Linked DNA regions of Sus scrofa. The main gene of each other region encodes a partner of the protein of the gene in region 4 in a complex. Links are inferred from orthologs where the notes say so. Each region holds a gene or a part of one and is shown on either strand. Other genes may lie near its edges. The genes, in order: SENP2, USPL1, SENP1 and SUMO3.

Region 1 (7,835 bases), about 84 Mb from region 4:
TTGAAGTAAGCCCTTCACATACATAAACTTGTTTATTGTGCCCACAGATCTGAGAGGCAGGTTTGATGAACTCTGTTTTACAGATTCAGAAATAGACTTAGGGAAGGCCTGGTGCTGTTATTTCTCCACATTAGGCAGGCCAAGCCATTTGCAGTTGATGTGAACAAATGTAATGAAATCTAGGACAAGACAGCTCTACCTGCTTTTGGCATAACAAAGCCAAAGTTATTATCAGACAGATTGAATAAGACCACGAGTTCCCCTTGTGGCGCAGCAGAAACAAATCCGACTAGGAACCATTAGGTTGCAGGTTCCATCCCTGGCCTTACTCAGTGGGTTAAGGATCAGGCATTGCCAAGAGCTGTGGTGTAGGTTGAAGACTTGGTTCAGATCCTGCATTGCTGTGGCTGGGGCGAAGGCTGGCAGCTGTAGCTCTGATTCGACCCCTAGTCTGGGAACCTCCGTGTGCTGAGGGTGCGGCCATAAAAAGACAAAAGACAAAAAAAAAAAAAAAAAAAAAAAGACCAGAAGACCAAAAGGACATGTTTTTCTTGAGTACCAGAGGAGTTGGTGCCTGGAAGGGAATTAATCTTCAAAGTGGTGAGCCTTGTTAGATTTTAGGTACATTAGGCCCAAGCCAACATCTCCTCTATGGGCCCCTACCCCCTCCCATCAAAAGGCCCAGATCTCCCTTCCAACAGGGGTCAGCAAAAACAAAGCTGAGAGGAAATCTTTCAGCACTCCAAGAATGCAGGCAAAGGGAAAATCTGCAAGACTAAAGAACGGATTGGAGGGCTGGGTTTTCATTGTTCTGTGGAGAGGAGGTAGGTTTTGAGAAAGATGGGGGAGGGGCGCTGATAAGGCCTGAAGGAGAGGATCTCCACCGGAGGAAGGGGATCTTTTTGGAAAACTAGGGCAATCGGGTGAAATACCCTACAAAAACTTAAGCCATGAGGTTGTGCTCCTCTGCCGGTGCACGGGTGCAAGTTATTCAAACCAAGAGCAGAAACCTCAACATCCTTGTAACTCCCTGTGATTTTGGAGTTCTCCTCTGGGCCTCCGGTGAAGAGTTCCTGGGTCTGGGAATGGCTGCAGAAGGGGTGGATTTGGGAGTAAGGATAATCCCACTCCTTGGTCAGTGGATGGACAGTGGTCCTTACCTCTACTGTGGACGACAGGACATCGAAGGCACCAACTGGCAGACAAGACCCAAGCGGAAGCGACTGTAAGGCTGAATCCCCTTTCTTTCTCCACTTCAGAGGGTGACTAGAGACACTAAGAGGACACAAAGTGGTGGGGGTGGGGGGTTGTGCTCATGGAAGGGCTGGCATAGTTATTGTTTGTTGATGAGGTCCAGAGATATGGACTGAGGTCTGTAATTCCAAAGCCCTCCGACTTTTCTTGGCGGGTGACCGACATTCCAGTATTGGGTACTTGCTCCAATGAGGCAGAAAAAAAAATACGTTGTGATGTTGTACTAGACTTCTCTGTAACATGATGCCAATGTTTCTTAAATCTTAGTGGCCAGGACCTGGGAGAAAGTGCTATTCTAAAGCAACCTCGGAGTGTTCTGGTTTATGTTTCGAATGAAGGCCACTCCTTTGTTTTGGAGAATTCCTTCCTGATACTTAAGTGTTCTTGGTTTGACAAAAGCAAAGACCAGCTTTTATAGTAGAAGGGACTTTTGGGACACAGCTGAACTGCCCTGCTGGTAGCCTTCTTCATCATCTTCTTCTTCTTCTTCTTTTTTTGTCTCTTTAAGGCTGTACTCACGGCTTGTGGAGGTTCTTAGGCAAGGGGTCCAGTCGGGGCTGTAGCTGCCGGCCTAGGCCACAGCCACAGCAACACCAGATCCGAACTGCGTCTGTGACCTACACCACAGTTCGTGGCAACGCCGGATCCTTAACCCACTGAGCGGGGCCAGAGATTGAACTTGTGTCCTCATGGATACTAGTCACATTTGTTTCTGCTGAGCCATGATGGGAACTCCCTAGATGCTGTATTTGTAATAGCCACTTCTAAACTTTCTCAGCTTTGTAATTCTCCTGTTATTCCCAGACTATCTGTAATGGCCTGGTATTAGCTATATTTTAGGGAATTGAGGGAGGAGCCCATGCCCACATTTAGGATTTGCTTCTACCCTCCAGGAACTGCTCCTATCCCCAGCCCAGGCCAGAGTGGTGGGTAGCCACAGGTGGGTAGCTGGTGGTTCTGTGGCTCTAGGAGGTGGCTTGCTGCAGAAAAATATTTATTGAACAAGGATGAGACTGTACTAGGGAGTGTCTCTGTTGAAGTTCAAGCAAGTCTGGAAGTCCAACCTTAACTGAATCACAGATTAAAGATCAAGTATTTCCAGGGATGGATTCGTGGGCAAGAAAACCTTTGCATATTCCCAGGAGTGTTAGGTAGGGGACTGGATTTTCCAGTAATAAGAAGGGTGGTTATTTTTCTATTGTTGATCGTTACTGGGAACCTCTAGACAAGAGAGGGAGAGTAGTTAGCAGGACTTCTTGGCAGCTCAGGGGGTATTAGTAGGTACTACTAGTAGGCCACAGGGAGCCTTCCATTCTTAAGTGTCTGTGAAGACTTTTTTGAGTTCTGCCCTTCCCGTCCTTTTCCCATCCAGTTTTCCTTTCTTTGGCTCCTACTGCACTCTGTACCCACCTTTATCACAACAGCCTTTTTTTTTCTTTTTCGTTTTTTGGCCACGCCCAGGACTTAGGGAAGTTCTCTAGCAAGGGATCCAACCTGTGCCACTGCAGGGACTCTAGAAATTGCAATGATGACACCTGATTCTTAACCCTCTGTACCACAAGGGACCTCCCAATCATCTTTTTAAAAATTTAACTTAAGTGCAGTTTACTTACAACCAATTGTCTTGAGGTGTAATTTGTAATCATATCTCCCAGTAGACTGATCTCAAGGGCAAGAGACTGGTGTTGGTACACAGACCCTGGTTCAAATTCCATCCGTGGTACTAGCTAGTTTTGTGACCGTAGGCAATTACTTAATCGCTCTATCCCTCGATTTCCTTACTGATTAAAAGTGGGCACAAGGTTCTGCATCTCCTGAGGTTGCTGAGAGAAATGAAGTTGACTGCGTGTAAAAATACCAGGCATAAAGTATGTGCAAAGTAAAGGGATCCTAGCAGGGTGAACGTTTGTTAATTAGCCTGACTAACCTTTATTTTGTGCATTCAACAAACATTTAATGATCACCTGCAGTATTGCAGGCCCCTGGAGCGCTCACTCCAGGGTAGAGAACGCTCTTGTGCGGCCGGTGGGCTTGTCCCTCGGGCAGTCTCAGGATTGGCTCCGCCGAAGAGAATACCCCGCCCACATCCCTTGCGATCTCGTCAGCGATTGGACTGGAACCTTCCCGCAGGCATTCTGGTTGCTAGGCTCAGGAGGTGGGGACCTAGGTTGCGCGTGCGCAAACTGAGAATGAGGATGCTTTCCGGTCGGGCGGGAGGAGGTGACGTCAGGAGCGGTGGCTAGCGGGGGCCTCCTGTAGCTCAAGGGACGTTGTATCTGTGGGCCCTAGGACCGCGTCACAACTCGGCGACTGAGCCTTGGCGGTGGTGGCCGAGGCGGAGAAGGCGGCAGCGGCGGCGACAGCTCTGGGGTTTGCGTCTCGGGGTGTGTCGGCCGCCGCTGCTGCTTGGGCCTGGTATGTACAAATGGCTGGTTAGGATTCTCGGCACCATTTTCCGTTTTTGTGACCGGCCGGTGCCCTCTTCCCGGGCTCTCCTGAAGAGGCGGCGCTCGAACAGGTGAGAGGAGAGGGGGCCGAACGCCGGCCTGGCACTCCCCCTCCCCCACCCGGGGCTCGGCTAGCCTAGCGCTGACCCAACCAGGCAGGCCCCGCTTGGCAGAAACAGGTAGCTGGGCGGAGGTGGTCGAGGTGCGGATCGCGGGCGTCCTGGTGACGTAGTCGCTCCTCCCCGCTGTGTGGATGCGGCTCCTGATGATGGAAGGAGCCAGTAGTTGATGGTTAGGATCTTTCTCATCAGAGCCCAAGCTGGTTGCTGTTAACAAATAGAGCTTTGTCATATTTTGCTGCTCTTAGGTTGAATACTGAAAATTGAAGGAAAACTGTCTTTGTTGTGGCTCACTGTTTGCAAAGCACACCCCCAGGTGTCATCTGTGCGCAATAAGCGCAGTTAAGGGAGGTGAGAATCATAGCTTGCCCAAAGTCCTTTTGACCACACGTACTGTTCTCTTAGCAACAAGAGACAGCAGCTGTCTTGTTCTAAAACAGCTGTCAAACTGTGTGTGTGTGTGTGTTGTCGGGAGGAGGGAGAGTGATTCTGTGCTTTAGAATTAGTGTATGAGAAAAAAAAATAGATATCTGATTACTTTAAAAAGATCACTAGTCTGTACTCTAAAATTCTGTTAAAATTTTGGAGAAACTAAAAGTTGTTCTTTGCATTTACCTGTTGGTTTGTCCCATTTCATTGTGTCCACCCCCTTCCCTAAGAATTAATCGAGAGAATAAAATACCATACTAAGTCTGTACATACCCACACCCAACTTTTAGTGGTCAGGTATTAATTTAATTTTTTATTAAGCCTCAAGATTGAAGGTTGGTTTCTTGGAGCTTGAGACAAAGATGATTAATTAATACATGAATCTAAGAATGCTGCTCATGATGAAATTGGCTTTGGGCTAAATTCCATCCTATGTTCTAGAGAGGGCAAGATTTCATTGTGTTTTTTATAATTTTCTGTGGAGTTAATACAAGGATCATTTGAATACAAGTTGTGCCTAAAATGATGCTTAATGCATATAAGGGTAGTGTTTGTTTATTCTACTCCAAGGGCCTTGTGCAGAGGCCGGAGCATGACAGGCACTTGTATATATTTATTGAATAAGGGAATGTTAATTCCCTCTCCCTCGTCCTTTATTTTTAATGCAAATCTCTGCTGGTCAGGGAAACTGGCTTGTAGATCAAAATCCTGTTCTTTATTATACATCCTTAATTGATATAAACTCTTCATTGTAAGCCATTTTTCAGTCCAAATGAAGCCAAAAAGTCTTCGTGGGATGTTGAAAGTTATGAACCAAATGGTATTCTCCTGAGATTTATTCTGTTTTTTCTTTTGTAAATAGGATCATTCCTAATCATCTTTAGAAAGATGATTATAGGAGTTGCTGTCATGGCTCAGTGGAAATGAATCCGACTAGGAACCATGAGGTTGCAGGTTCGATCCCTGGCTTCGCTCAGTGGGTTAAGGATCTGGCATTGCCATGAACTGTGGCGTAGGCCGGCAGCTATAGCTCCAATTGGACCCCTAGTCTGGGAAGTTCTGTATGCCGTAAGTGCAGCCCTAAAAAGCCAAAAAAAAAAAAAAAAAAAAAAGAAATGAAAAGAAAGATGGTTAACTGTGAAGCTTTAACCTTGAGATATAGGTCCAAAAACTTTTCTGAATTTACAAATTTTTGAGATATAGGTCCAAAACTTTTCTGAATTTCCAAATTCTTTATCACTGTAATATAGTTTCCATGATAAAAACACAGTTAAATATAACACCCTTTTCTGGCTAAGAACTGTCTTTTTTTTTTGTCTTTTCTAGGGCTGCACTCACAGCATATGGAGGTTCCCAGGCTAGGGGTCTAATCGGAGCTGTAGCTGCCGGCCTACACCACAGCTCACAGCAACGCTGAATCCTTAACCCCCTGAGCAAGGCCAGGGATTGAACCCACAACCTCATGGTTCCCAGTTGAATTCGTTAATCACTGAGCCACGATGGGAACACCAGAACTGTCTTTTAAGTAGACAATTCTTAAATTGTCTACTTCTATCTGAAGTAAAAAATGATTTTCTTCTGGGGAAGCTGTCATCTTTCAGAAGGAAATTATTCTTAAATCATTTTTGGAGAGAAAGGGAATAACTGGTCCTAAGCTTTTACCTATATTCGTTTACTAGTAAAGATTTCTGGCCAGTTTCATGTTTGTAGTCTAGCCAGACTACACATGATTATATAATAGGGAATTTTAGATCTCCACATCCTCAAAAGCTGAAGACCTACTATAGCATAAACATCAGTTAGATCTCATTTTATGACAGAGTGAATGGAAGAGGGTGTGTTTGAATAGTAAGCTTACTTATAGAAATGGAAATGTGTGTATATGAACATATATGCATATATATTATGTCTCTCTTCTCTTTTTTCAGCAGTCTCTTTTCTACAGTGGACACTGATGAAGTACCAGCCAAAAGACCAAGATTAGGTATTAAATATTAATTAAAAAAATAGCTTTTTCAATAGGAAAAATATATGTATGGACAAAATTCAAAAGATAAAAAGTATATACAGTGAAAAGTAAGTCTTTTTCCTGTCCCTTTTCCATTGTTATCTTTTTTAGAGGTAAACAGTGTTACCAGAGACTTAAATATCTTTCTAGATAAATAAGTCTGTATGTTGAAATTGCATTTCAAAATTCCTAATCTTCCTATAAAGAAAAGGTGCTTTTTATTTATTTTTAAAATTTATTATTATTATTATTTTTGTCTTTTTGTCTTTTTAGGGCCACACCTGTGGCATATGAAGGTTCCCAGGCTAGGAATCTAATCAGAGCTGTTGCTGCTGGCTTACGCCGGAGCCACAGCAACACCAGATCCGAGCCGCGACTGCGACCTACACCACAGCTCATGGCAACACCAGATCCTTAACCTACTGAGCAAGGCCAGGGATCGAACCCGAAACTTCATGGTTCCTAGTCGGGGATTCGTTCCCGCTGCACCACGACAGGAACTCCTATTTCTTAATTTTTTACTTTTAAAATGAGAGTTGGAATATTTATTTCAGGTTCTCTCTCTCTCTTTTTAAGCATTTAAAAATTTTTTTGCCACACCGGCAGCACGTGGATGTTCCTGGGTCAGGGATCGAACCTGTGCCACACAGTAGTGACCAGAGCGTCAGCGGTGAAAACACAGGAGGCTTAACCCACTAGGCCATCAGAACTCCCAAAAGGTGCTTTTTATTTGAAGAGAAAACATTGTAAAAACTATTTCAAACTGGAGTCATCTAGTTCAGATAGCTAAGTGATCCAGTATAATGAGTTACCTCAGATTGTTTACTTCTCTGTATCTGAAGGTCTAGACATCACTGGTAGAAGAGAATAAAACTAGATTAAAGGGAAAAGGCACTATTAAATACTATAATAGTGTTTTCCTTCTTCTCAAAAATGAATGTGAATTTGAATCTATCTCCAGATGTAGTAAAGAGTGGATATGTCTGTGTTAAGATTTAATGTAAATTCAGGAGTGCTTATTGAGCCTATCTTACTGTTAAACAATGTGTTAGGTTCTACAGGAAATACAGAAATGAATACAACAGGTTCTTTATTTTTAAGGACATTACAACTGCAGGAGTATATGATTATTTAGTGGGGGGTTTAAGACAGTACATAAATTATACTAATGTCAATGATTACATGATAAATGAAATAAGAAAAGTAATAACATAATACTGTCCGATTTTCAGCTCTAAGAGTCTCAGTAAATATTTGATGAAGGAGCTAATATGTGAGGTGAGTCCAAGGATGGATAGGGTATTGACAGAGCAATAGGAAGGACAGTAGGCAGAGGGGACAGTAAAAAGTTTTGCAATTCAGGAAATAATGAATAAAACAGGGGAAAAATTGACAAAAGAGAGAGTTCAAAATACAGAAGACTTTGAATGTCAGAAATATATACCAAATTTATTAGGACATTATATTCCAAAGCACAGGATAGATACCAGTTCAGGAAATGATTTTAGGAGATACGACATTCATAGCATTAAGAAACATTTGGGAATTCCTGTCGTGGCTCAGTGGTTAATGAAACCG
Region 2 (7,054 bases), on a different chromosome or scaffold from region 4:
TTTTCCTTAAAAAAAGAAAAAAAGAAATATACATGTAAGAGGCAAAGAAAACACCAAATTGAAGACAGTAGTTACCTTTGTAGGGAGCTAAGGAAGAATTAGGGAAGAGTACAAAAAGGGCTTCAGCTGTTATCGGTAATGTTCTATTTCTTAAACTAGTGGGAGGGAGAGCAGAGAGGAGAGTTTACAAAGTGTTTTTTTAAAAACAATAATCAAGCAGTTCCCATCATGGCTCAGTGGTTAACAAACCGGACTAAGATCCATGAGGATGTGGGTTCAATCCCTGGCCTCAATCAGTGGGTTAAGGATCCGGCATTGCTGTGGCTGTGGTGTAGGTTGGCAGCTACAGCTCCGATTCAACCCCTAGCCTGGGAACCTCCGTATGCCTCAGATTTAGTCCTAAAAAGATAAAAGACAACAAACAAATAAACCCTATAATCAAAATGATAAAGTGGCTGACTGATTGTAAAGATTCAACCAACTCTCTGGGTCAGTATAGATTCTACTTCTCTTTCTTTCCTTTTTTTTTTTTTTTTTTTTAATGTGTGTGTGTATGTGTGTGTCTTTTTGCCTTTTCTAGGGCTGTACCCACGGCATATGGAGGTTCCCAGGCTAGGGGTCCAATCAGAGCTGTAGCTGCCAAGCCTACGCCAGAGTCACAGCAACGCCAGATCTGAGCCACATCTATAACCTACACCACAGCTCACGGCAATGCCGGATCCTTAACCCACTGAGCACGGCCAGGGATCGAACCCAAAATCTCATGGTTCTTAGACGGATTCGTTAACCACTGAGCCACGACGGGAACTCCTACTTCTCTTTTTTGGTATTTTAAAATATACATTAATATTCAGAATGAGGACACATCCACTTTAAGACTTTAAAGTGCTCCCTGAAGCAAAGATTGGACTTCATTAATAAGATCTTGAGCTCTAGCACAGCACCTCTCACTGCTGACTGAGTAGTCCAAACACAAATGAGAGGACTCTACTGCACTCAAGAGCTGCAGGCTTGCCCAACTGCTACAAGTGCTCAAAATTTAAAAATCCCTTCTCTGCTACACAGAAAACCAGGCCCAAGGTGGCAAACGGAGCAAGAGGCAACCTTGTTCCAAATATAAGTAGCAGAGATAAGAAGGGTGGTGATTCGGACTGGGGGAGGAACTGCGGTAGGAAACTTGAATAAAACATCTAGGGTCACTCTAGGAGGGAAATAATACCTGCAAAATGCAACACGGGAGCCCCTCAGTCTACATTCTGGCAAGCCTACAAAAAAGTCTCCTTTGAAATGAGTATCCTCCCAACAGATCAGTGGTTGGGGTAAGGAGAGGGGGTGACTACAAAGGAGCCTGGGGAACATTTTCATGGTGACAGTGCTATTCTTTATCTTGACAGTGGTAATGGTAACACAACTGCACACCTTTGAAAAAGATTTTACTCTATGTAAATCATATTTCGATCACAAGGAAAAAAGGGTATTTACTCCATCTGAGACTGCAACTGATGATAAATCAGAATAATACTTTAGGCCCACAGAAGGCAATGCTGAAGGTCTGGCATATGGAAAATCACTTTATTATTACAAGAACAGAGAAAGCTTATACATTTAGGAGTTCATGAAAAACAAAATAGTAAAACTAGGGGACAGAACTGTGGGACAAAGAAATAGGATACTACCATGCAAAAAAGACAGCGCTTCCAGGTATACTATCTGCGTCTAACGAAATGAACGTCTCTTATTGAGAGACAAACTTGAAGGCACTGATATTTTACATAGTTTAGTGTGGGTATCATACTAAATAGGGGTATCATATATTCTGGTACAATAACACAATATTAATACAAGGAAAAAGAGAAAACAGAAAGACGCCCTCAAAAAAAATCACTGCCAGCTCCTTTGTGCAATTCTAAAAAAATTTATAAAGACCTGGAGACTCTACTACCCTTACTCCACTCTGGTCATAGAGGCCAAAAGCCAATTAATTCACAGACGACAAAGCAGGTCTCATTCTTGTGCCCTTTTTAAAGGTAAGAAAACTTTCCCAAAAGGTCATCAACCTATTTCTCCTCATATTCCATTGGCTAAAACTGTACAATATGTCCACTCTCTAACCAACTTCTGGCAGGGGAAACAGAATTACTATGGCTGGTTTAGGCCAGAGATTCTCAACCCTGTCCACCCATAAGAATCATGCAGGGGCTTCTAAAAGTTACTGATACTTGAACTCCCTCCCTAAGATTCTCGTAGGCCCCTAGCACTTGTATTTCCTAGGTGCTTTTTTATTTTGTTTGTTTATTTATCTATTGTCTTTTTAGGGCTGCACCCGAGACATATGTAGGTTCCCAGGTTAGGGGTTGAATGAGAGCTGTAGCTGCTGGCCTACACCACAGCTCACGGCAACGCCTGATCCTTAACTTACCAAACGACGCCAGGGATCAAACATACAACCTCATGGTTCCTAGTTGGATTAGTTCCCGCTGCGCCATGATGGGAATTCCAACCCTAGGTGCTTTTTTAATGCATAGTCAAGGTTGAAAAAGCTCAAATAAGTCTACTGGGGAAAGTACTGGGAAAGCAAGCAATGGCGTACCCATGAGTAGTTCCCCGGTTCTGAGATCCGCATCCACTCTGTGGGAGTGATGCACATGCCTGTGTACTAGTGCAAGAGTTCCGTCCACAAACGATTTTGTTACAGAGAGATTCCTAAGTGAGACCCCCAGACTCTCTCTTCCAAGGATCTGATCATCCCAAGAAATAAAACACTATTATATTTCATTATGATGTAAATTACTTCTTTATGATAGATGAGTAATACAATTAAATTCCACAAATTACTTACCTAATGTGCATCTCAACTGAGGTTGAAGCCTAATAAAAATTTCATCTCTGACTTCATTCAGACAGGTCTCTATCTTCGGAAATATTTCTGAATGAAGTTTTTTACACTCTCCGCCTAGTAATACAATATAAAACATTATCAGTCTCATCAACATATATCTTTCCACAATTAAGACATTACCAAAAATGAAAGTTTACCAGAGTCAACAAACTTTGCAGAGATAAAATGGAAAACACGAAATTCCTTCATTCTTCTTCCTCCCTCTGCGGTGTACTGCATATTCCCTCAATTATGTGTTAACAGCACAATATCATTAGGACCGACTGCCTGGGTCAACACAACACCATCCCGCCCGAGTAAAACCGCAGCAAAAGCCATTCTCGTCCAAAGAATCACAGGCTTGGCTAGAGAGCTACGCTTTCAGATATCCTGCTTATCTCTGAAAGAGCTGAAGCTGCCTTTTTACATGGAATTATTACTTGGGCTACAGACATTTACTCTTTCACTGCGCTTAATTAGATCATAGGAGCACATAAGTTCATAAGGAGCCTTAATTAAGTTACGATTATTTTCCAAATTAACATTTGGTATGTTCTTCTTTTTTGGCGGTGGGCTGGGGTGAAGGGTCTTCAACGACATCACCATCCTCATACAACTCCACATTCTGCTTTTTTCATACAAATTTGCTTCCACTAAAACTGTGCAGGCTAGTTATACTCCAGCTAAACCATAGTTTTAGTAACCACTCGTTACTGCTGGACACTTAAGTTGCTTCTTTTTTCGCTATTATAAATACTATCATGATAAACATCTTTGGGCACATTTTTTTTTTTTTATCATTTAAGGTAAAACACCTCAAAATGGCATTACTGTGACCGAAAACTACCCAAGATTAATAAGAAAATTATTTTGAATAAAAGCCTCCGTACGCAACTGACTCATAAGCCACACAGAGTGAAAAGACCTATTTTACACTTTTTACTGCCTGATCACACTCTGCTCATATGTTTCACCAGGAAAACATCTGGAGTCCTCTGTAATATGAAGTAAGCATTAACCAGAATTTTTTTTTTTATTTAACCATACTGAAAGAAAGGGAAAACTTCAATTCAAAGTAATGTAGCTCAAACAAATGTAATTACAACTATATTACAAAAACAATTACTCTGGAAAAAAGTAATATTTAGACAAAAAATTAAAATTAATTCAATATTTAAGTCAAAACTTGAGGTATGTTCTCCCACAACAAACAACTATCACCTACATAGTACTGGGGTTTCTGTAACTATACAAAACAGGAATAAAGAGAAAAGGCAAAAGCAAAAATGCTTCTGAGAAACTGTCTTTTAGAAATTGCAAAGAAAAAGAATTCAATCTCAAAGAAACTCAAACTGAAGCGAAATATTTTTTATCTAACAAAATGATACCTTTTTAAATGTTTCTACCCAAAGATGATTAGAGTGTTCCTGAATGTTTACTTCTACATATGAAAATGGGATTATTATGTTGGTATAATCCTTCTGGAAAGCCATTCAGAAAGATTCTTTACATTCATATTTTAGCATTCCTTCTAGGGTATAATCAGAAATGGAGGAGTTCCCGTCGTGGCGCAGTGGTTAACGAATCCGACTAGGAACCATGAGGTTGCGGGTTCGGTCCCTGCCCTTGCTCAGTGGGTTAACGATCCGGCGTTGCCGTGAGCTGTGGTGTAGGTTGCAGACGCGGCTCGGATCCCGCGTTGCTGTGGCTCTGGCGTAGGCCGGTGGCTACAGCTCCGATTCGACCCCTAGCCTGGGAACCTCCATATGCCGCGGGAGCGGCCGAAGAAATAGCAACAACAACAACAAAAAGACAAAAAAAAAAAAAAAAAAAAAAGAAATGGAGTCAAAGATACATGGATATTTGCCATAGTATTTATATACAATAGCAAAAAAATGGTAATTAGTCTGAATAGTTAACAATGGGGAAACTGTACAGTATTGATAAATACTACACGACTAAAGTCAAACTGCATACAGGTAAGGATTATTTCCCTACCAGATACCAAGACCCAAAAAAGCCGTAAAAATTAAAATTGTGTGGTATTGGTAAAGGGACAGATAAAGTGACCAAAAAAACAAAATTGAGAGTGAAGGAAGTTGCATTCATATGCAGAATGTTATATGACAAAGGTGCCATGGCAGACCAACTGAGGAATAGGTGGAGCTAGAAAAACTGATTGTGCAATGGGGAAAAAAACAAACCTTTACCACACACCACAAACAAAAATTACCTCCAGCTGAATTAAGAATTTCTTTTTCTTTCTTTTTTTTTTTTTTTTGTCTTTTCTAGGGCTGCACCCATAGCATGTGGAGGTTCCCAGCCTAGGAGTCTGAATTAAGAATTTCAATGTAAAAAGCAAAACTCTATGACTTATCAGTGAAAATACAGGTGAAGGATTTTCTGATTTTGGAGAAACATTTCTTTTTAAAGCCACAAACATACCAGCAACAAAAGGAAAGATTACGATTTCTACACATCAAAGATACTTTTTAAAAAAGTAAAAATATAAGATAGAAATTGGGAGATTTAGCAATTTATCTGACAAATACAACAACAAACACTAAAAACTCATGGAAATCCCTAAGAATGTGACAAAAGAACAAACAGGGATAAGACACAGGCACTTCACAGAAGGAACAGAGGCTCAATCTACATATGAAGAGCTGTTAAACCTCTTTAAAAGCTGGGCAAGGCAAATCAAGACCAGGGACCATTTAATATCATTCAAACCACAAAATTTCCAAGTGTGAAAATAACTAAGGGAAGAAATAAGGATTAGGAAGATCTCTTCTGCATTGCTAATGGAATACTGACTGGCACAACCACTTTGGAAAACAAGTAACCATCATCAGTAAATGTGAACTCAGGGTCTATCCTATGATAAATCCACGGGAAACTCCCTCTGCTCCAGGAGACTTGCCCAAGAACAGTCACTGCAGCAGTATTTATAATGGCAAAAAAAACCCAATGTCAGATCAATGAATAAATACACTGATGCATTTATGAACTGGAAATATTATATAGCAATGAAAAACAATGAACTACAAATATCAAAAGAAAAAAAAGATCCCCAGAAAAAATATGGTACAGTATCTTTTTTATAAAGTTCAAAACAAATTAAATTAGGCAATACACTGTTTAGCCATACCTACGCAGTGAAAACTATTAACAAAAGAATTGATAAAACACATTTCAGGATAATGACTACCTTTGAAGGAAGGTGGAAGATGGGATGGGAGGAATATACAGGTAGATTTAAGTCAACGGAAATATTTTAATTTATCTGGGCTGGAGGTGGATTCATTGGTATCCTATTTCTTAGAAAATGAAACAAAAATACACCTCTCATTGTGAAAATACACTTCGAGGGAGTTGTTCGAGGGATTATGGGTGATAGGTATTTACTTCTTTATTCTGCCTTATGGCAATTCAAAAACTTACAATTTTATTTGGATGTACTCTATGCTGACTATCACCACCCTGACAGCAAACATACAGCCACAGCGTCTTTATTCCTTCCTCTTAATTTTTGAAAAAGACTGCCTTTTGAGCAGTCAAGATAATGTAACTTGATGGTGTTAGCTCTTTGCTCCCAGGTCTCTACATAAAACAGAGGCTACTGATGGCATCTTTTCCATGTGCTGAGACAAAACTCAATGCTAACCTCTTTTTCTTTTTTTTTTTTTTTTTTTTTGTCTTTTTGCCTTTTCTTGGGCGGCTCCCGCGGCATATGGAAGTTCCCAGGCTAGGGGTCGAATTGGAGCTGTAGCCACCGGCCTACGCCAGAGCCACAGCAACTCGGGATCCAAGCCACATCTGCAACCCACACCACAGCTCACGGCAACGCCGGATCCTCAACCCACTGAGCAAGGGCAGGGATCGAACCTGCAACCTCATGGTTCCTAGTCGGATTCATTAACCACTGAGCCACGACGGGAACTCCAATGCTAACCTCTTTTTAAAGAGAAATAAAATGTTATTGCTAACCTTTAACTCCATCTGACTGACTGGTGAGAAGAAGCTCATTGGCTTGATTATACCTGGTAAACAACCGCCTGAACACAGATTCCTCTTCAGAGCACAAGTCAGTCACAGTATTTTTTAGTCCCTCCAAGTGCACCAATGCTGACAGGATACAGTCTAACCAACAGAGAGCATGTGTGTTTTTCCACT
Region 3 (7,054 bases), on a different chromosome or scaffold from region 4:
CTGTCGGGCAACCCAGAGCCAGGGTGGTCACAGAGCTTCCTCCAGGCGGCTCAGCTCACCTGTGTGAAGTTGATTGGTCTGTCTTTGGTAATGCAGTCAGCATATTTGCAGGCAAACATGCCACAGTCACTTCCATTCATCTGCTGTGGAATTTCCTGAAAGCCCCAAAACAACAAAAAGGTGACATCTTTCCAAGCTTCCTTTTTCCTTATTTGATTATAAATAAGAACCAAAGAACATGAATTTTACAAGTTTCCCTGAATTTTGAAGAGATTACTCCGATTCCCCATTCAGAACAACAGAGGCTCAGAGAAAAAAAAAATACAGCTTCTCAGTCAGGCTTGTGTATGTCCTATTAATCATACAGGAGAATACCTTAGACTTCCCACGATACCCAGTGTGTAAAAACAGGTCCCTCCCACAGGGGCCAAACAATCTGCAAACATTACCCACAGAAATGAAAAACTTGGCAAAATAGCTGGACATTTAGAAAACCTAGTTCTTCATAAGAAACACATTACTAGGTTTCCCACAGAAGTTTACTCTAACTTTCCCACAGAACCACACGACCAAACAGAAGGTCCCTGGGGACTAAACAGTGAAATCCTTTTCTTTCCCATACCCTAATCTCAGAATTTCCATCTCATCAAGGTGAAATGTACCTGGCTTTTCTTGCTGAAGAGCTGCCAGCCATTGGTGTCAAACTCTTTCCTTTTCTTGTCAATGCTTTCTTGCTTTAGGTATTGCCTACAGGTATTGGGAGAGAATGAGGTGAGCTTGGGGAACACTGATGACACCTGCTGCTCAAAGAATGGGGCTGACAATCCTTAGGAAGTTTCCATCTGCACTTCTACGGAACACAGTATATGTTGCTGGGCAAGGAATCTCTGGACTGCTAAGCTTCCTTTGGAAGTCCCACAATTCACGCCCGCTCTGAGAAACATAACCAGTGCCTCTGATACCCAGGCTCCTCTATCTACTGTCCTTTCTGAAGAACAAGTTTTCATTCTTTTCCCTTGGTTTACATGGTCCTTCGGAACTCAATCTAATAAAAAAGAAATGCTTCCCTGGGAATATCGAGGTCTTTATTTATATTTATAGTCTTGATTCTCTGGTGTGAAAATTCAATCCAAAACAATGTGTTGAGTGCACACCCCATACAGAGCACTCTTCTTAAGCGCAAACTGCTCACTCTTCTGGAACTTACTTCCGCCTGGCCACCAGAGTGGTACAGTGAGAAACAGACATTTCGGAAAGAGAAATAGACATGTGTAAAGAGATTTGCATTTTGGTTCCCAGTTGAGCTGCTAACTGGTGGGACCTGAGCAAATCAGAATCACCTGTGGTTTCTTCATCTGAAAAATTAGGTTGGAGAATATGATTCCTAAGTAGTTTCTTTCTCTCTCTCTCTCTCTGTACCCACTCTCTATTTCAGCACACCAAGACAGTAATTATCCCCATTAGGGCATACTTTTGGTATTATTATACTATTATTAAACTTTACTTTCTTTGATGGAAACTATCCATTCTTACTCAATATAAAAATTTCCTTTATTTATTACTCCATTGAATGGATCAGAAAACAGAATTCAACAACTAAAAAAACACAACACATACCCAACACCAAATTCTTCTGTCCTCAACTCCTTACTTACAAGAGGATCCTGCAGGCTTCATTATTTATCCCACCCATAGAGTCGTAATAGGTAATATTCTTCTTTCTAAAGTCCACAACCTAGGAATAAAAAAATCTGTGTGTTTATGAAGTGAAGAAAATTGACTTCTCAGCTTTTCCCTTCCCTGGAACTTGGAAACTTCCACCAATTTCCTATGAAATCATGACAAGTTTGATGGATACTTTGCATTATACCTTGCTTAATCTGCAGAGGAAAGAAGAATGGGGGGGTGTTATTTACTTAGAACTATGGTGGGGGCTCACTGATAAGTGGCCCTATTCATTGCCCTAAAACCTTTTTCTAGTATTCAGGTTCTCCATCTGCAATGTGGGCAGCACTGAAGACATAATGTGCTCTTCAGAGAAAGAAGTTGAGTGGGATCATTTCCACACATTTTCAGAAAGATGGTAAAAGATTCTAGGTTTTGTTTTCTTCCTTTCTTCTTCCTCTCTCTCTTCCTTCCTTCCTTCCTTTTTTGGGGAGCTGCACTTGTGGCATACAGAAGTTCCAAGGCAAGGAGGCGAATCAGAGCTGCAGCTGCCGGCCTACACCACAACCACAGCAATGTGGGATCCATGCCATATCTGCAACCTACACCACAGCTCAGGGCAACGCCAGATCCTTAACCCACTGAGCAAGGCCAGGGATTGAACCCATAACCTCATGGCTACTAGTTGGGTTCATAATGCACTGAGCCACAATGGTAACTCCTAGCTTTTGTTTCTTTTACCTGGAGAATTTCCTTTTGGCTTTATGCTTTTCAAATGTAATTCTGCAAAATAACTTTTATACGTTTATTAATATTTAAGCTAATGTATCCATGTTTTCTGAGTCATAAAAATATTAAATTACCAAGTATGCAAGGCAAGTCATGATTAGGCAGAAAATAATAATCATAGAATCTGAGTTGGCAGCATCATTAAGAAGTCACTTTTTCTCTCTATGCCTTGCCTTAAGCCTGCTTTGACTCATAACTCCCTTTTTAAATATTTCCAGAAAAGGAAATTCCACAGCTTTCTTCAAAACCTAAGTACCCCCCACTCTTGGCAAGAAGCTCATTGACCTATCCAATTTTTTTTTTTTTTTTTTTTTTGCTTTTTTAAGGCCACACCTGAGGCATATGGAGGTTCCCAGGCTAGGGGTTGAATCAGAGCTGCAGCTGCCGGCCTACACCACAGCCACAGCAACTTGGGATCTGAGTCTCATCTGTGACCTACACCACAGCGCACGGCAACACCGGATCCTTACTGAGGCCAGGGACGGAACTGGCATCCTCATGGATACTAGTCGGGGTCATTACCACTGAGCCACAACAGGAACTCCCTGATCTATCCAATTTTTAGACAACTAAATGCTACTCCTTCCTCAATCATCCAGTGAAAGTGTAGAACTAATATTCACTACTTTCTGTGTATTCTAGAAGTACATAGATTTCTTTTAACAAAAATAAAACAGGTACTCACAGCAAGACACCAGTGCACTCCCAGGTGAATGGGCACCAAAAGAATATCAACAGAAAAGACATCCACTTTCTTTGTCCAACGTTTCACTGCTTGATAACCAGCCGTTTTTAACTTAGTGAAAAAAAAGGTATTAAATGCATGTACACTTGGCATTCCTTTCTCTTTACTTCGCTCCATTAGCATATTCATGTAGAAATTGATGATCTGTGGGAAGAAGGTATATATATTAAAATAGATACTCAAGGGAGTTCCCGTCGTGGCGCAGTGGTTAACGAATCCGACTAGGAACCATGAGGTCGCGGGTTCGGTCCCTGCCCTTGCTCAGTGGGTTGACGATCCGGCGTTGCCGTGAGCTGTGGTGTAGGTTGCAGACACGGCTCGGATCCCGCGTTGCTGTGGCTCTGGCGTAGGCTGGTGGCTACAGCTCCGATTCAACCCCTAGCCTGGGAACCTCCATATGCCTCGAAGCGGCCCAAGAGATAGCAACAACAACAACAAAAGACAAAAAGACAAAAAAGACAAAAATAGATACTCAAGCCTTCGAAAACAGTTATGTTGTAAGAAGGAAACACCATTCCTACACTGCATAGCATAGGAACAAGAGTTGAGGGGGTTATAAAGAGTGAAAACAGGGAAAGTTGACGTATATACACACACACATATATATATTTATATATTTACATATATGCATGGCTCAGGATATATATGGGCAGATGTTGGCCAGATCGGTAGAATACTGAAGATTAGGGTAAAAAAAAACAACTAGAGAATGAGGAGGAAGGGGCGCTATAGCGCCCCTTTAGGTGAGACTCAAGAGAAAAGGAAAGGAAAGAGTACAAGAAGTTCCTTTAATCTGCTGGGTCTGTGTGAGCCATTTAAATAAATCTTGAGGTCCAAATCTACTGTTAATAAAGCTAAGATCAGCAGTTAATCCTTCTATGAAGGCCTCCTGATTTTGCACAAAGATAGAAAACTGCTCAATGACTAAAGACTGCATTTTCAGCCTAATACGCCACTGAGCAAAAGCAAACTGTTTTGGTCTCAAGTAGAACTTGAGTGTGACAGGATAAACCATCAACTTACTGGAAAAACATCTCTAAAGTGACAGCAGCTTAGCAATGTTGTTTGTATAGAGGCAGACATGGATATAGTATAACCTATATTACATGAGACTTGAAAGTAAAATCACAAACATGAAGAGTAACATTCTCCCCCAGAATCTGTATGGTTAGCTTTCCCATTTTTGTTGACTCATTTACGCCTTCAATATGAGGCAAGTACAAGTGAAATAAATTAAAATGCTTAATGTCATGTTAGCAGAGATATGTTAAAACATGCTAATGAAATAATGTGTTCTTTAATAGTGACTATGTTGTCCATGGTTCCTTTAGGTCCAAGGCTCCTCGGTACTAAAGCTTGGAAGTTACTGTGCCGGAAGTTACTGCATACTTACTTTATGTGGCCAACTGAGGTCAGGCACTAGTGTCTGTCAACTACAAGGAATGAATGGGCTAACTGATCCACGGCTTGGAAATATGACTAAGAAAACAGGCACATTTTTCAGAATGCTTTTTGGGGAATGGGAAAACGCCCCCGTCCTTTGACAAATATTTACACACTAGGATGCCAGAGCAGTGAGCTACTGCCCAACAGTAGGCAACTACATACTGGGTAGGCAGCAGGGAATACTGCCAGGAACACACCGGAGCATGGTCTAGACTAGAGAAAGGGCCTATAGATGAGGATGCCTAGGCAGCTGCAAGGAAACCACATTCACCATGAGGCCGGGCTCTGAGGGTGGTGGTGGGGAAAGCTAGGACTGAAGAAAGACACTGTTCTGCCTGCATCTCTAAAGACTGAGCTATAGGCCCAGAAAACCCAGGTTGTGGTTAATTCTCTGCCTGGTGTGATAGCCAATAAGTAACTGGAGCTGAGTTATTTAAATGATAATGAATCAAGACAATCAGGATCACAGATTTCTCAAATCGAGGTTTTCAATCTAACTCTGCCCCAAAGGCAATGGTGCTAAAGGATGTTTCTAGGCTTGTGAAGACAGCCAGGATTACAGGAAGATCTGCCCAACAAGCACAGATTCCTGGCTATAATCTGAATTCCCGAGTGAAAGAAAATCAGCAAGAAGGGACTGACTCCTCTGGTATTCTACCCCACAATATTAGCCATGTTATGAGGCTAAACCCTCCAATCCAAGGGGTGAAGAGAACAGGCAGACAATCTGTCAGTCACTGTAAGCCAAACCCTCCATGGGGCAGATAAGTTATATATTACAACAGACAATAAGGATTTGAGGTGGAGGTGGAAGGAATCACAGAGATGTAAGGACAGCTAAGCACATCAGAGCCATGGAGATCTATCTCCCCAGGTGCCGGGGTATATCGCCTTTGGGATCATTAACCTACAGTGAAAACGATGACATAAATGAGTGTCACACCACACATGGCTATCACATTTTTCAGGAGGAAAGCGTTCCAGAAAACAATTAAGTCTAGCTTGAGCTGTTTCTTATTTTATTATTTTGAGAGTGGACTATAACGCTGAAGACCAAACCAGCTGAACAGGAACCTAGGGATCAGGACCTTTTTCCATTGCTTTAGCTCTGCCTCCAACCAAGGTTTCTCCACTGAGAGGGAAATGGCTTCCTCCAAAGTCAGCTCATTAAACTAGCTCTAGGGAGGATCTGGGTTCCTTTTCATTTACACTGTATCCCATTAGGAGGGAGTTTGGTGGCTTCAATGTTCCCTCCTATTAGCCAAGGAGGTGTAATCTGACATCTGAGGCAGATTTTAGATCCAAGTTTCTCTCCTCAGTTTTTTAGCTATTACTCTGTCCAAATGAGGAAAACTGCCATAGGTCTGCCAAGATACAATCATACCAAAAAAACAAGCTAGGAATTAGGAGAACAAAAAGATTCCTACACATCTTCTCACAGAGGAGGGCTGAAGATGAAGAAAACCAAAATGAGAGAAGAGATCACAGTGTTTAAGATGAAAGAGAAGCAGTGACAGCATTTGCTTGTACTGTATGAAGACAAGGGTCTCTCCCCTTGCGTGGTGAGAGCCTTTCTGCACACAGGGCTCTCTTAGCTCCAGAAGATCTTGAATTCCCTTTGGAATAGGGGGCTAAGAGTAGTAAATCAGCCCTGTGCCTACTGGTCTTGCACTTGTCACTCTTTTGGGGGCCCACACTTGCCTCTCTTTGCTGTGGCTTCTAAAGAGCTGCCCTTCCGGCTGCCTTCACAGCCTTGGCCATGAGCGCCTGCTTGTCTATGCAGTCCTGTTTGGGAGTGGAATGGTTGTTTACAGTGTCTTGTTTCTTTGTGATTTTATTTGAAGAGCTGCCAGGCTGAAGCTGAAAAAAGCTTCTCTTTAAAAGAAAAGCCTACAATGTTTTCAAACTAAGGATTCAATCCTTTTCCTGTATGTTACCACAATGACATAAATGACTACTGCTATTTGTATCTTCCTTCTCATGTAGTAAACCAGCCAAACTACTGTTTTCTCATGCATTTAAAATAAGTAAAAATTTCACTAACAGTCAAGTCCTGACTTTTAATCCTTCCCAATTTCACACTCTGACACTTAAAATTAGCTTAGGAAAAAAATGTACTACAAGTCTTGGGCATGACAGTGCTTCTTAGCAGAAACCAAGATTACTTTTGGGGGGAGTCCCCCTTGTGGCTCAGTGGGAATGAACCCAAGTAGGATTCATGAGGATGCAGGTTTGATTCCCTAGACTCGCTTCAGTGGGTTAAGGATCCAGCGTTGCTGTGGGGCTTGGTGAAGGTCGCAGACACAGTTCGGATATGACATTGCTGGGGCCATGGTGGCATGGGTCAGTAGGTGCAGCTTGGATTCAACTCCTAGCCTGAGAAATTCCATATGCCCTGGGTGTAGCCCT
Region 4 (7,815 bases):
AGCCGTTGTTGCGACCTAAGCTGCAGCTTCGGCAACATCGGATCCTTAAGCCACTGTGCTGGGCCGGGGATCAAACCTGCCTCTCAGGGCTCCCAAGACACGGCCGGCCCTGTTACGCCACAGCGGGAGCTCCACAAATGCAATTCTGGATGCCGGTTTCAGTCTCCGTGGACTCACCTACCTGGGCCTCAGCCTCACTCCTCTGCTGTAGGCCCAGAGCTCCAGCCGAAGCTCCGGGGCATCATCAGAGCCCCCAGCCAGTTTACCTTGCCCGGCCATGCCCAGGGACTATCTCCTCCATCCCCTCAGACCCAGAGGCTCTGCTCAGGGTCTCAGCCCCTCGCCCGCTGTATACCTAAGGGACGGCACTGCCCCTCCACGCACACGCAGAGGAAAGGCCCCGCGAGGACACGGGGAGTTGGTGGCCGCCTTCGAGCCGAGGAGAGAGGCCCCAGGAGAAACCCACCTGCCCGCCTTGATCTTGGCCTTCTAGCCTCCACTACTGTGAGGGAATAAATATTTGCTCAAGCTGCCCGGGCTGTGGTATTTTGTTACAGCCACTGAGCTGATGACACACCATACTAGTCACTAAACCCCTGAAAGAAAAACCACTTCCCTTCCTTCTGGGATCTCTGCCCTCAGAGAGAGTCTCTTCTGTTTTGGTAGCCATTTGGTGTCTTCAAGCAGAGCTTCAACATACTTCATACAGATTTTCTGATCGTTCAAAACCATAGGCTTTTTTTTTTTTTGGCTGCGCTCACGGCATACAAAGGTTCTCGGGCCAGGGAGCCCACGCCACAGCAGAGACCCAAGCCACAGCAGTGACAACACTGGATCCTTAACCTGAGAGCCACCAGGGAACTTCAAAACTGCAATAGTTTTATAATTCACTTTTAAAAAATGTATCAGCAGGAGTTCCCGTTATGGCATAGCGGGTTAAGGAACTGGTATAGCCTCTGTGAGTGTGTGGGTTCCATCCCCGGCCTTGCTCAGTGGGTTCAGGATCCGGCATAGGTCGCAGAGGCGGCTCGGATCTGGTGTGGCTGTGGCTGTGGCATGGGCCCCAGATGCAGCTCTGATTCAACCCCTGAGCTGGGTACTTCCATGTGTCGCGGGTGGGGCCATAAAAAGAAAAAAAAAAATGACTCAACATATGCGCATCTCTTCCTGTCACCAAGGACTCTTTTTTTACACATTTCTTTTACTGGGGACGCAGGCTTTCGTCCTACGAATGAACCACAGTTCGAATCCTTACTGGAACACCTTTAGATACTGCATTTCATCAATTCTAAGCCATAGGTTTTTCACCCTTCAGCAAGTCTGAAACCAGGACGTCTTCCGTCCAAAACCTGTCTTGGTTTAACGCGTCTGTGCTAAATAAACCAATTTCATGCTTTACAGCTGATGGTGTCTCAGAGCCGACGACGAACGATGGGTCCAAACGCCGCCTACGCGAAGCTACCCCACAGCCCGTCAGCCGGGGGCAGTTCTGGGCCCCACTGTCCATCTCTGTTCTGGAAGGGGCCAGTTCCCGGAGACCCCCCTCTCCAGGAAGCAGAGCTTGAGCCAGTCGTTGTACCCGAGGGCCCCCTGGTAGAGGCGACACCGTCCGGACTCCAGGACCCTCAGTCCTGGCTGAGATGGAGGTTGGCTCTGCTCGGACCTTTCGATGGAGAGACTTCGTCAGCCTGCTACGTGGCAGCTCCGTTTCTTGGAAGCGCCTTCCCTTCTCCTAAACGGGGCCTCTAGCCAAGGATGTGATTTTTTTTTTTTTTTTCATTTTTGAGGGCCCCACCGGCAGCAGATGGAAGTTCCCAGGTTAGGGGTTGAATCAGAGCTATAGCGGCCGGCCTACCCCGCGGCCACAGCAACACCAGATCCAAGCCATGTCTGCGACCTACACCATAGCTCACAGCAACACCGGCTCCTTAACCCACTGAGTGGGGTCAGGGATTGAACCCTCATCCTCATGGATGCTAGTTGGGTTTGTTTCAATGGGAACACCCAAGGAAGTGTGTTTTGAAGGGTCCAAAGTGGTTTGTGAAATTAAGGCCCATCAATACCTGGCCCTGTGGCCTTTCGACAGCGTCAGGAAGCAAGCAGAACCCCGTCAGCAGGGCCTTCAGATGGAAGCCATCTAGTGACCTGGGTTCAAATCCAGACCCTGCCACCTCCTAGTGCGTGACCCTGTGCAACCTTCATTCCCTGACCGGAAGAACAGGGGGCTAAGGTCCCTGCTGCAGAGTGTTGTGAGCCTTGATGCGTGCTTGGGACCACAGCCGGCACACCCGAGGGGTCAGTCCACGTCGGCCACTGCTGGTCCCTTTCCTCTGAGGCATGGGGTGGAGACGGGGAGGGCAGGAAGAGCCAGGGCCTCAGAATCCTGGAGGGCTTCCTGACCAGGGCCCATTCTTCACCACATTTCCCGAGGTTGCCTGAGTGCCCGTTTCAGCCTGTCCTGCTGGGGTTGAGCCCTGGGTTTGTCCCGAGGCAGCAGAGCACACTGGTCAGACACACGGACCACTGCCTGTGCTCACATCCCAGCGGCATTGCTCACCCACGCTAGGACGTCAGGTAACTCAGTTTCCTCACCTGTAAAATGGGCTGATGTAAAGGTCAGGTGCACAGCTTCCAGGTAGGGTAGCAAAGCGGTCCCCACCTGCCCCAGGTGCTCGGCTTCCACTGGCCAAGCTCAGAAGGGGGCTGGACAGGGGGAGAAGAACAAGCAGCCTAGCCCATCACAGAGAGAGGCTTCTGCCTCCCCGTCTCCCTCCCAGAAATGCCATTTATGCCTCCGTCCCCTGGGATCGCAGAGTGGAGGTGGCCGGACCTTGGAGCCTGAGTGGGTTTGCTAAAGGAAGTCATGCCCTGACTCCTTGGTGGACGGAGTGGCCGGGTGGGTCAGCCTCCACCCCTTCCTTCACTCCACTTCGAGGTCCGACACTTGGCTCCGGGCGAAGGCAAGCTGCACCTTCCCCAGTAGTGGGGGCGCCTCCCAAGACACTGTTCTCACTCACGTCCCCTGGAGTGGCTCGCCTGGCTGGCTTTATTTTCCTTTTTTTCCTCTGAGAAACACCGTAACCAGAAAAGAAAAGCAGTGGGTGCACTTAGGCTTGACTGGTGCTGCTGCAGTAGGGGGACCAGTTATGGGGACCAGAGCAGGGGCCGTTCTCAGGCTCCATGATAAAGCGCAAGGCCTCCTGGCCCGGTTCTCTGAGCACCTCGGGGTTCCAGTTTGCCCCCATCGCTGCCCCGTGTGCCCCCTGGGTCCCACCGTCCCCACCCTAGCTGCCCTGCACGCCTCCCGGGTCCCAGCGCGCCCCCCACCCCTCGGGCGGACCCGAGCCCCCGCTGCCTTGGGAACCCCCAACCCCGACGCCGGATTTCGCGGGGCCCCGCCCGGTGACGCATTTCCAACCGCCAGGAACCTCGGCCGGCAGGCCAGGCGCGCGTCCGACGCCCCGGGGTCGCGCCTCGTGCACGCGCGCCCACCACGTGACCCGCGCCGGCCAACCGGCGCGCAGGGATTTGGGGGCAAAGCGCGGCCCCGAGAGCAGTTGCGGCGGGAGAGCGGCGGGCCGAGAGCGTGAGTCGCCCGCCCGGCGCTGCTGCTGCCCCGCCGCCCGCCGCGCGCAGCCATGTCCGAGGAGAAGCCCAAGGTAAGGGCCGTAGGGCGCGGGCCCGTGCTCTGCCTCCAGCCCACGCCGCCGTCGCCGCCGTCCCCACCCCCGCCTGCGCCCCGTGCTGCACCGCCCTCCGACCCGCCGCCGGCCTCTGGGGCCCGGGGTCCGCGGCGCCACCCGGCTTCCCCGGCCCCCTCCCCCGCGCCGCCGGGCTCCGCTCGGCTCCCCTCCCCCGCCCGGCCGCGCGCCCCGCCGCGCGCCCCCTCCCTCCGCCCAGGCCCCTCCCTCCGCCCAGGCCCCTCCCTCCGCCCAGGCCCCTCCCCACGGGGCCCGCCCCGTCCCGAGCCCCGCCCCTCCCAGGCCTCCCCCCCCAAGACACGAGCTCCACCCCCACGGCCCCGCCCCGCCCCCGAAGAGCCCCGCCCCGTTGTCTCGGCGAGTGGCACCCCTATCCTGGACCATCCTGGACCCTCCTGGACCTGACCCTCCTGGCTGGGACCCGCCTGGGTCTCCCCTCGTCCCCCTTTGGGACCGCCCCTCCCCAGAACCTCTTTCCTCTTCGGACTCTCCCCCCGCTGCGCCCCTCATGCCAGGACCGAAGGTCCTGGCCTGCCTGGGCCCTACTGCCCCTCGGAGGGCCTCCTCCTCAGCTCTCACTGCGGAGAGCCCGAGGGGGCGCAGGCTGGGGACAGGGGCTCTGAGAGGCCTGACCTGTCTGGAGGCACGGTCGCCCCCCTGGGCGTGCGCCCACCTCCCCCGTCGTTTACTGTGTGCCCCCTGCCGCCCTTCCCCCAGGCTGTCAGGTCTGCGCCCTTGAGTCTGCTGCGCTGGCCCTTAGCCCTCCCCCTCCTATTAAAGACGGGCTTCTGGACCCTTGGGGTCAGTGTTTTCCAAGTAGCAGATCTGCTGCGAGTTGAACGATGGCGTGCAGGCTTTCTCTGCTGCCAGCCCCGCTGGAGGTTCCCCCCCTGCAGCTGAGGCTGGAGCCCAGGAGGCAGAGCTGGGGTTGGGGTCCAGGGCACGGAACCCCTGGTCACCAAACCCCTGGTCAGAGACCCCCTGGTTGAGCCCCAGGTCGGGAGCCCACTGTGGGGCCTGTGAGAAGAGGTGCCCTCAGGAGCTTCCTCTCTCCGGGTGCAGTTGGAGCTTTGTTTTTTATTCTATTTTATTACTTCTTTTTCTTTTATTTTGGCTGCCCCATGGCACATGCAGTTCCTGTGCCATGGGTTGAATCCCAGCAGAGCTGTGTCCTATGCTACGGCTATGGTAACATTGAACCTTTACCCACTGTGCCTGGTATCGAACTCATGTCCCTCCCTGCCCCTGCAGAGACCCGTCAGTCCCTTTGCGCCACAGCAGGAACTCCTGCCTTTGCTTTTTCCTTGCGGCCAGTTACATTTCTCACTCAGCCTTTGCTAGCGCTCGCGCCCTGGATCCTTTGTTTATTGGAGGCTGAACACAAGCGCCCCTTCTTCATGCTTTCTGGGGGCCTCTTTCTGCAGTTTAAATGCGATGAAATACACATAGATCTCATTCCTTCGGTGTGTTTAAACTTAGCTCTCCCACGTGGTCCAGCCCACAGCCCAATTCAGTTGAATAAACTTGTTTTCACTGCTTTCCAGACAAGGCCTCGTGCCCCACCCCTGCCCACCACAGCCTCGCTGCCTGCCGAGCTCTCCTCTGGGCCTGGGGGTGGTAGGAGGCCCGCTCCAGCCCATCTTGGTGAAAAGAAAACCTTGGGATCCGTTGGGAGGCCAGTTCTGCCTCCCTGGAGAGCACAGGCAGAGGCCTGCTGGTCGGAACTGTGGGTCTTGTCCACCCCCTTTCTTTGCAGTAGTTCACTGGCTTATTGGGAATTCACCAGGGCCGGGCACAGGCCATGTGGTCTCGGTGCCTTCCTCTGCCTGGCCTTCAGCCCCTGCCCTGTCTCTGTCTGCTTTGTGCTCTGGCCCCTGCGTCTCATTGAACACACCAGTACCTTCTCATTAAAAAAGCAATGCATCCTATGTCCACATGCAAAGAGAATAAAGTTGGAGGCATTCCCCTTGTGGTTCAGTGCTAAGGAACCCTGCTAGTACCCATAGGTTTCGGGTTCGATCCCTGGCCTCGCTCGGTGGATTAAGGATGTAGCATTGCTGTGAGCTGTGGTGTAGGCCACAGACGCAGCTTGGATCCTGCCTTGCCATGGCTGTCCTGTTAGGCCGGCAGCTACACCTCCGATTGGACCCCTAGCCCGGGAACCTCCATATGTTGCACATGTGGCCGTAAAAAAAAAAAAGACTGAAGTTGGATTTTTCTTGTCACTATATGCAAAAATTAACTCAAGGTGGACCAAGGACCTAAAACAGTACAACTCTCGGGAGAAAACAGAGGAAAGCTCCATGACATGGGACCTGGCAGTGGCTTCTTGGATGTGACACCAGTGGCACAGGCAGCATGAAGAAAAACAGACAAACTAGACTTCGTGAAAATTGTAAAAATTTTGTACATCAAAAAACACAATGGGAGTTCCCATTGTGGCTCAGTGGTATGAACCCGACTCGTATCCATGAGGACGTGGGTTCGATGCCCGGCCTTGCTCAGTGGTTTAAGGATCTGGCGTTGCTGTGGCTGTGGTGGAGGCCGGCAGCTACAACTCCGATTTGACCCCTCGCCTGGGAACCTCCAAATGCCATGGGTGCGACCCTAAAAAGGCAAAATAAGTCAATGAATGATTTTTTTTAAGTGATCTCAGGGCAAAGATGGACTTGCCCTCTGTGGGTTCCGGGGTCCGTTAGGCGGGTGTTCTCCCTCGAATCGAGTCTGAAGACATTAGACGTGGGACGTGTTAGAAGTTCTGTGCGGAAATCAAGGCTTCTGGGCAGAGGTGGGATTGCTGGAGCGAGGGGGGAATTGGGTTGGTTCCAATGATGTCGGGGAGACCAGCCGCCGCCGAACGCTGGCCTTTGAGCGGCGGGCAGTGGGGAGGCGGGCGGAGGCCAGATCCGCGTGTCGTTGCAGGAGGGGGTGAAGACGGAGAATGACCACATCAACCTGAAGGTGGCCGGGCAGGACGGCTCCGTGGTCCAGTTCAAGATCAAGAGACACACGCCGCTCAGCAAGCTGATGAAGGCCTACTGCGAGCGCCAGGTGCGGTGGTGCTGGAGCGCCTGCGCGTGCCTGCGTGTGCACGCGTGTGCACTTGTGTGTGCGCGTGTGCACCTGTGTGTGTGCGTGCCTGCGTGCCTGTGTGCATGTGTGCCTGCGTGTGTGCTTGTGTGTGCCTGTGTATGTGCGTGTGCCCCTTTGTGTGTGCGTGCCTGCCTGTGTGCTTGTGCTTGTGTGTGTGCACGCCCCCCCTCCCCGGAGGCCCTCCCTCTTCTGTCCCGTCTCCTGCAGGCTGGCGGTCGCTCCATCTTTAGCAGGTAGGGCACCCGTTGCCCCTGGTCGGGTTGCCTGGCAAGTCTTCCTGGTGCTGCTGGGATCATAGCGGGGGGTTCGCGTCCCCCTTCTCCTCCTCGGCGTCTGTGGAGACCCGGCCTGGCTTGGTTTCCAGACAGTGCTTGATTCTTGCCCTTTCTTTATTGCTCTTCGAGGTCGGGAGCAGAGGCTCTCATGCCCCCCACAGGGACCCGTGAGATGGACCGCTTCCGTGTCCCTCTCGTGTGAGCGGGACTGTGTCCTTGGGCCCCCACGGGAGCCGGTCCTTTCTGGCGGTGGCGTTTCTCCGGATGCTTTGGAAATAGCGGACCTCAGTTCCTGTTCTTGCCTTGGATGCTCTTTGCCTGGGCTTGTGCTTGTCGCTGTTATGAAAAGCACCTGAAACTCCACGCCTTCGTCTTTCTCGCCTCGCTTTTCAGACCTTGCTCTTCAGAGGCCATCACTGCCCAGCTTTTTTCCTGCGTTTTCGGGGTGCGCGTGTCCGTGCCTCTCCTCCTCGTCCTCTTGATTTGGAGGTGGAGTTCTCCTGGGACAGGTGGGCTGAGCCCTGCCACGCCATCCGCGCCCACCCGCAGCCCCTGTGCACAGATTCTGGCCTCGACGCCAGTCCTTTGCTCTGGAATCTCCTGATTCTGTCGTGACTGGGGCGGAGCTGCGCTGCTCCCAGGGCCACACGGCGACCTGTGCTGATTTCTGGCTCCTGCCCGAGCCTGTTTCTCCTGGCCTGGTGGCAGTTGTGTGTGTGCCCCGTGCCCCGTACTGCCCGCCCTGC

Evidence for each region.
Region 1: the proteins of SUMO3 (region 4) and SENP2 are in contact, whole or in part, in a crystal structure (PDB 2IO1), measured with the Homo sapiens proteins. The link is inferred for Sus scrofa from reciprocal best matches to the Homo sapiens genes SUMO3 and SENP2. Residues at the interface, in NP_008867.2 of Homo sapiens: Arg55, Arg58, Arg60, Phe61, Asp62, Gly63, Pro65, Asn67, Asp70, Leu75, Asp81, Asp84, Phe86, Gln87, Gln88, Gln89, Thr90, Gly91, Gly92, Val93, Pro94, Glu95; in NP_067640.2 of Homo sapiens: Gln385, Asp386, Phe393, Lys394, Leu395, Arg396, Trp410, Leu411, Asn412, Asp413, Glu414, Ser439, Thr440, Phe441, Pro444, Lys445, Arg456, Trp457, Lys459, His474, Lys476, Val477, His478, Trp479, Met497, Gln499, Gln542, Asn544, Gly545, Ser546.
Region 2: the proteins of SUMO3 (region 4) and USPL1 are in contact, whole or in part, in a crystal structure (PDB 7ZJU), measured with the Homo sapiens proteins. The link is inferred for Sus scrofa from reciprocal best matches to the Homo sapiens genes SUMO3 and USPL1. Residues at the interface, in NP_008867.2 of Homo sapiens: Gln24, Asp25, Gly26, Ser27, Val28, Arg58, Arg60, Gly63, Gln64, Pro65, Ile66, Asn67, Asp70, Leu75, Phe86, Gln87, Gln89, Thr90, Gly91; in NP_005791.3 of Homo sapiens: Ala234, Cys236, Trp237, Pro321, Gln322, Leu323, Arg324, Met330, Glu331, Ser332, Val334, Phe335, Leu339, Tyr368, Thr378, Thr380, His393, Phe394, Gly395, Pro396, Asn398, Arg407, His421, Val423, Tyr451, Asn454, Asn455, His456, Phe457, His493.
Region 3: the proteins of SUMO3 (region 4) and SENP1 are in contact, whole or in part, in a crystal structure (PDB 6NNQ), measured with the Homo sapiens proteins. The link is inferred for Sus scrofa from reciprocal best matches to the Homo sapiens genes SUMO3 and SENP1. Residues at the interface, in NP_008867.2 of Homo sapiens: Gln24, Ser53, Arg55, Gln56, Arg58, Arg60, Asp62, Gly63, Pro65, Asn67, Thr69, Asp70, Gln74, Glu76, Asp84, Phe86, Gln87, Gln88, Gln89, Thr90, Gly91, Gly92; in NP_001254523.1 of Homo sapiens: Gln440, Asp441, Glu446, Arg449, Leu450, Thr451, Lys455, Trp465, Leu466, Asn467, Asp468, Glu469, Asn494, Thr495, Phe496, Lys500, Arg511, Trp512, Lys514, Lys515, His529, Gly531, Val532, His533, Trp534, Gln597, Gly600, Ser601, Asp602, Cys603.

What each region holds. Positions count from the first base shown.
Region 1 is NC_010455.5:123,426,470-123,434,304, forward strand, and holds the start of SENP2 (sentrin-specific protease 2), read left to right. Parts: upstream 1-3,445; 5' UTR 3,446-3,671; coding exon 3,672-3,772; intron 3,773-4,068; exon of another isoform or gene 4,069-4,171; intron 4,172-6,177; coding exon 6,178-6,233; exon of another isoform or gene 6,234-6,325; intron 6,326-7,835. UniProt on the Homo sapiens protein: Protease that catalyzes two essential functions in the SUMO pathway.
Region 2 is NC_010453.5:7,332,587-7,339,640, reverse strand, and holds part of USPL1 (SUMO-specific isopeptidase USPL1), read right to left. Parts: coding exon 6,869-7,054; intron 2,954-6,868; coding exon 2,840-2,953; intron 1-2,839. UniProt on the Homo sapiens protein: SUMO-specific isopeptidase involved in protein desumoylation. Specifically binds SUMO proteins with a higher affinity for SUMO2 and SUMO3 which it cleaves more efficiently. Also able to process full-length SUMO proteins to their mature forms.
Region 3 is NC_010447.5:78,425,833-78,432,886, forward strand, and holds part of SENP1 (sentrin-specific protease 1), read right to left. Parts: intron 3,344-7,054; coding exon 3,140-3,343; intron 1,736-3,139; coding exon 1,656-1,735; exon of another isoform or gene 748-1,655; coding exon 663-747; intron 156-662; coding exon 60-155; intron 1-59. UniProt on the Homo sapiens protein: Protease that catalyzes two essential functions in the SUMO pathway.
Region 4 is NC_010455.5:207,479,963-207,487,777, reverse strand, and holds the start of SUMO3 (small ubiquitin-related modifier 3), read left to right. Parts: upstream 1-3,415; 5' UTR 3,416-3,638; coding exon 3,639-3,659; intron 3,660-6,623; coding exon 6,624-6,752; intron 6,753-7,815. UniProt on the Homo sapiens protein: Ubiquitin-like protein which can be covalently attached to target lysines either as a monomer or as a lysine-linked polymer. Does not seem to be involved in protein degradation and may function as an antagonist of ubiquitin in the degradation process.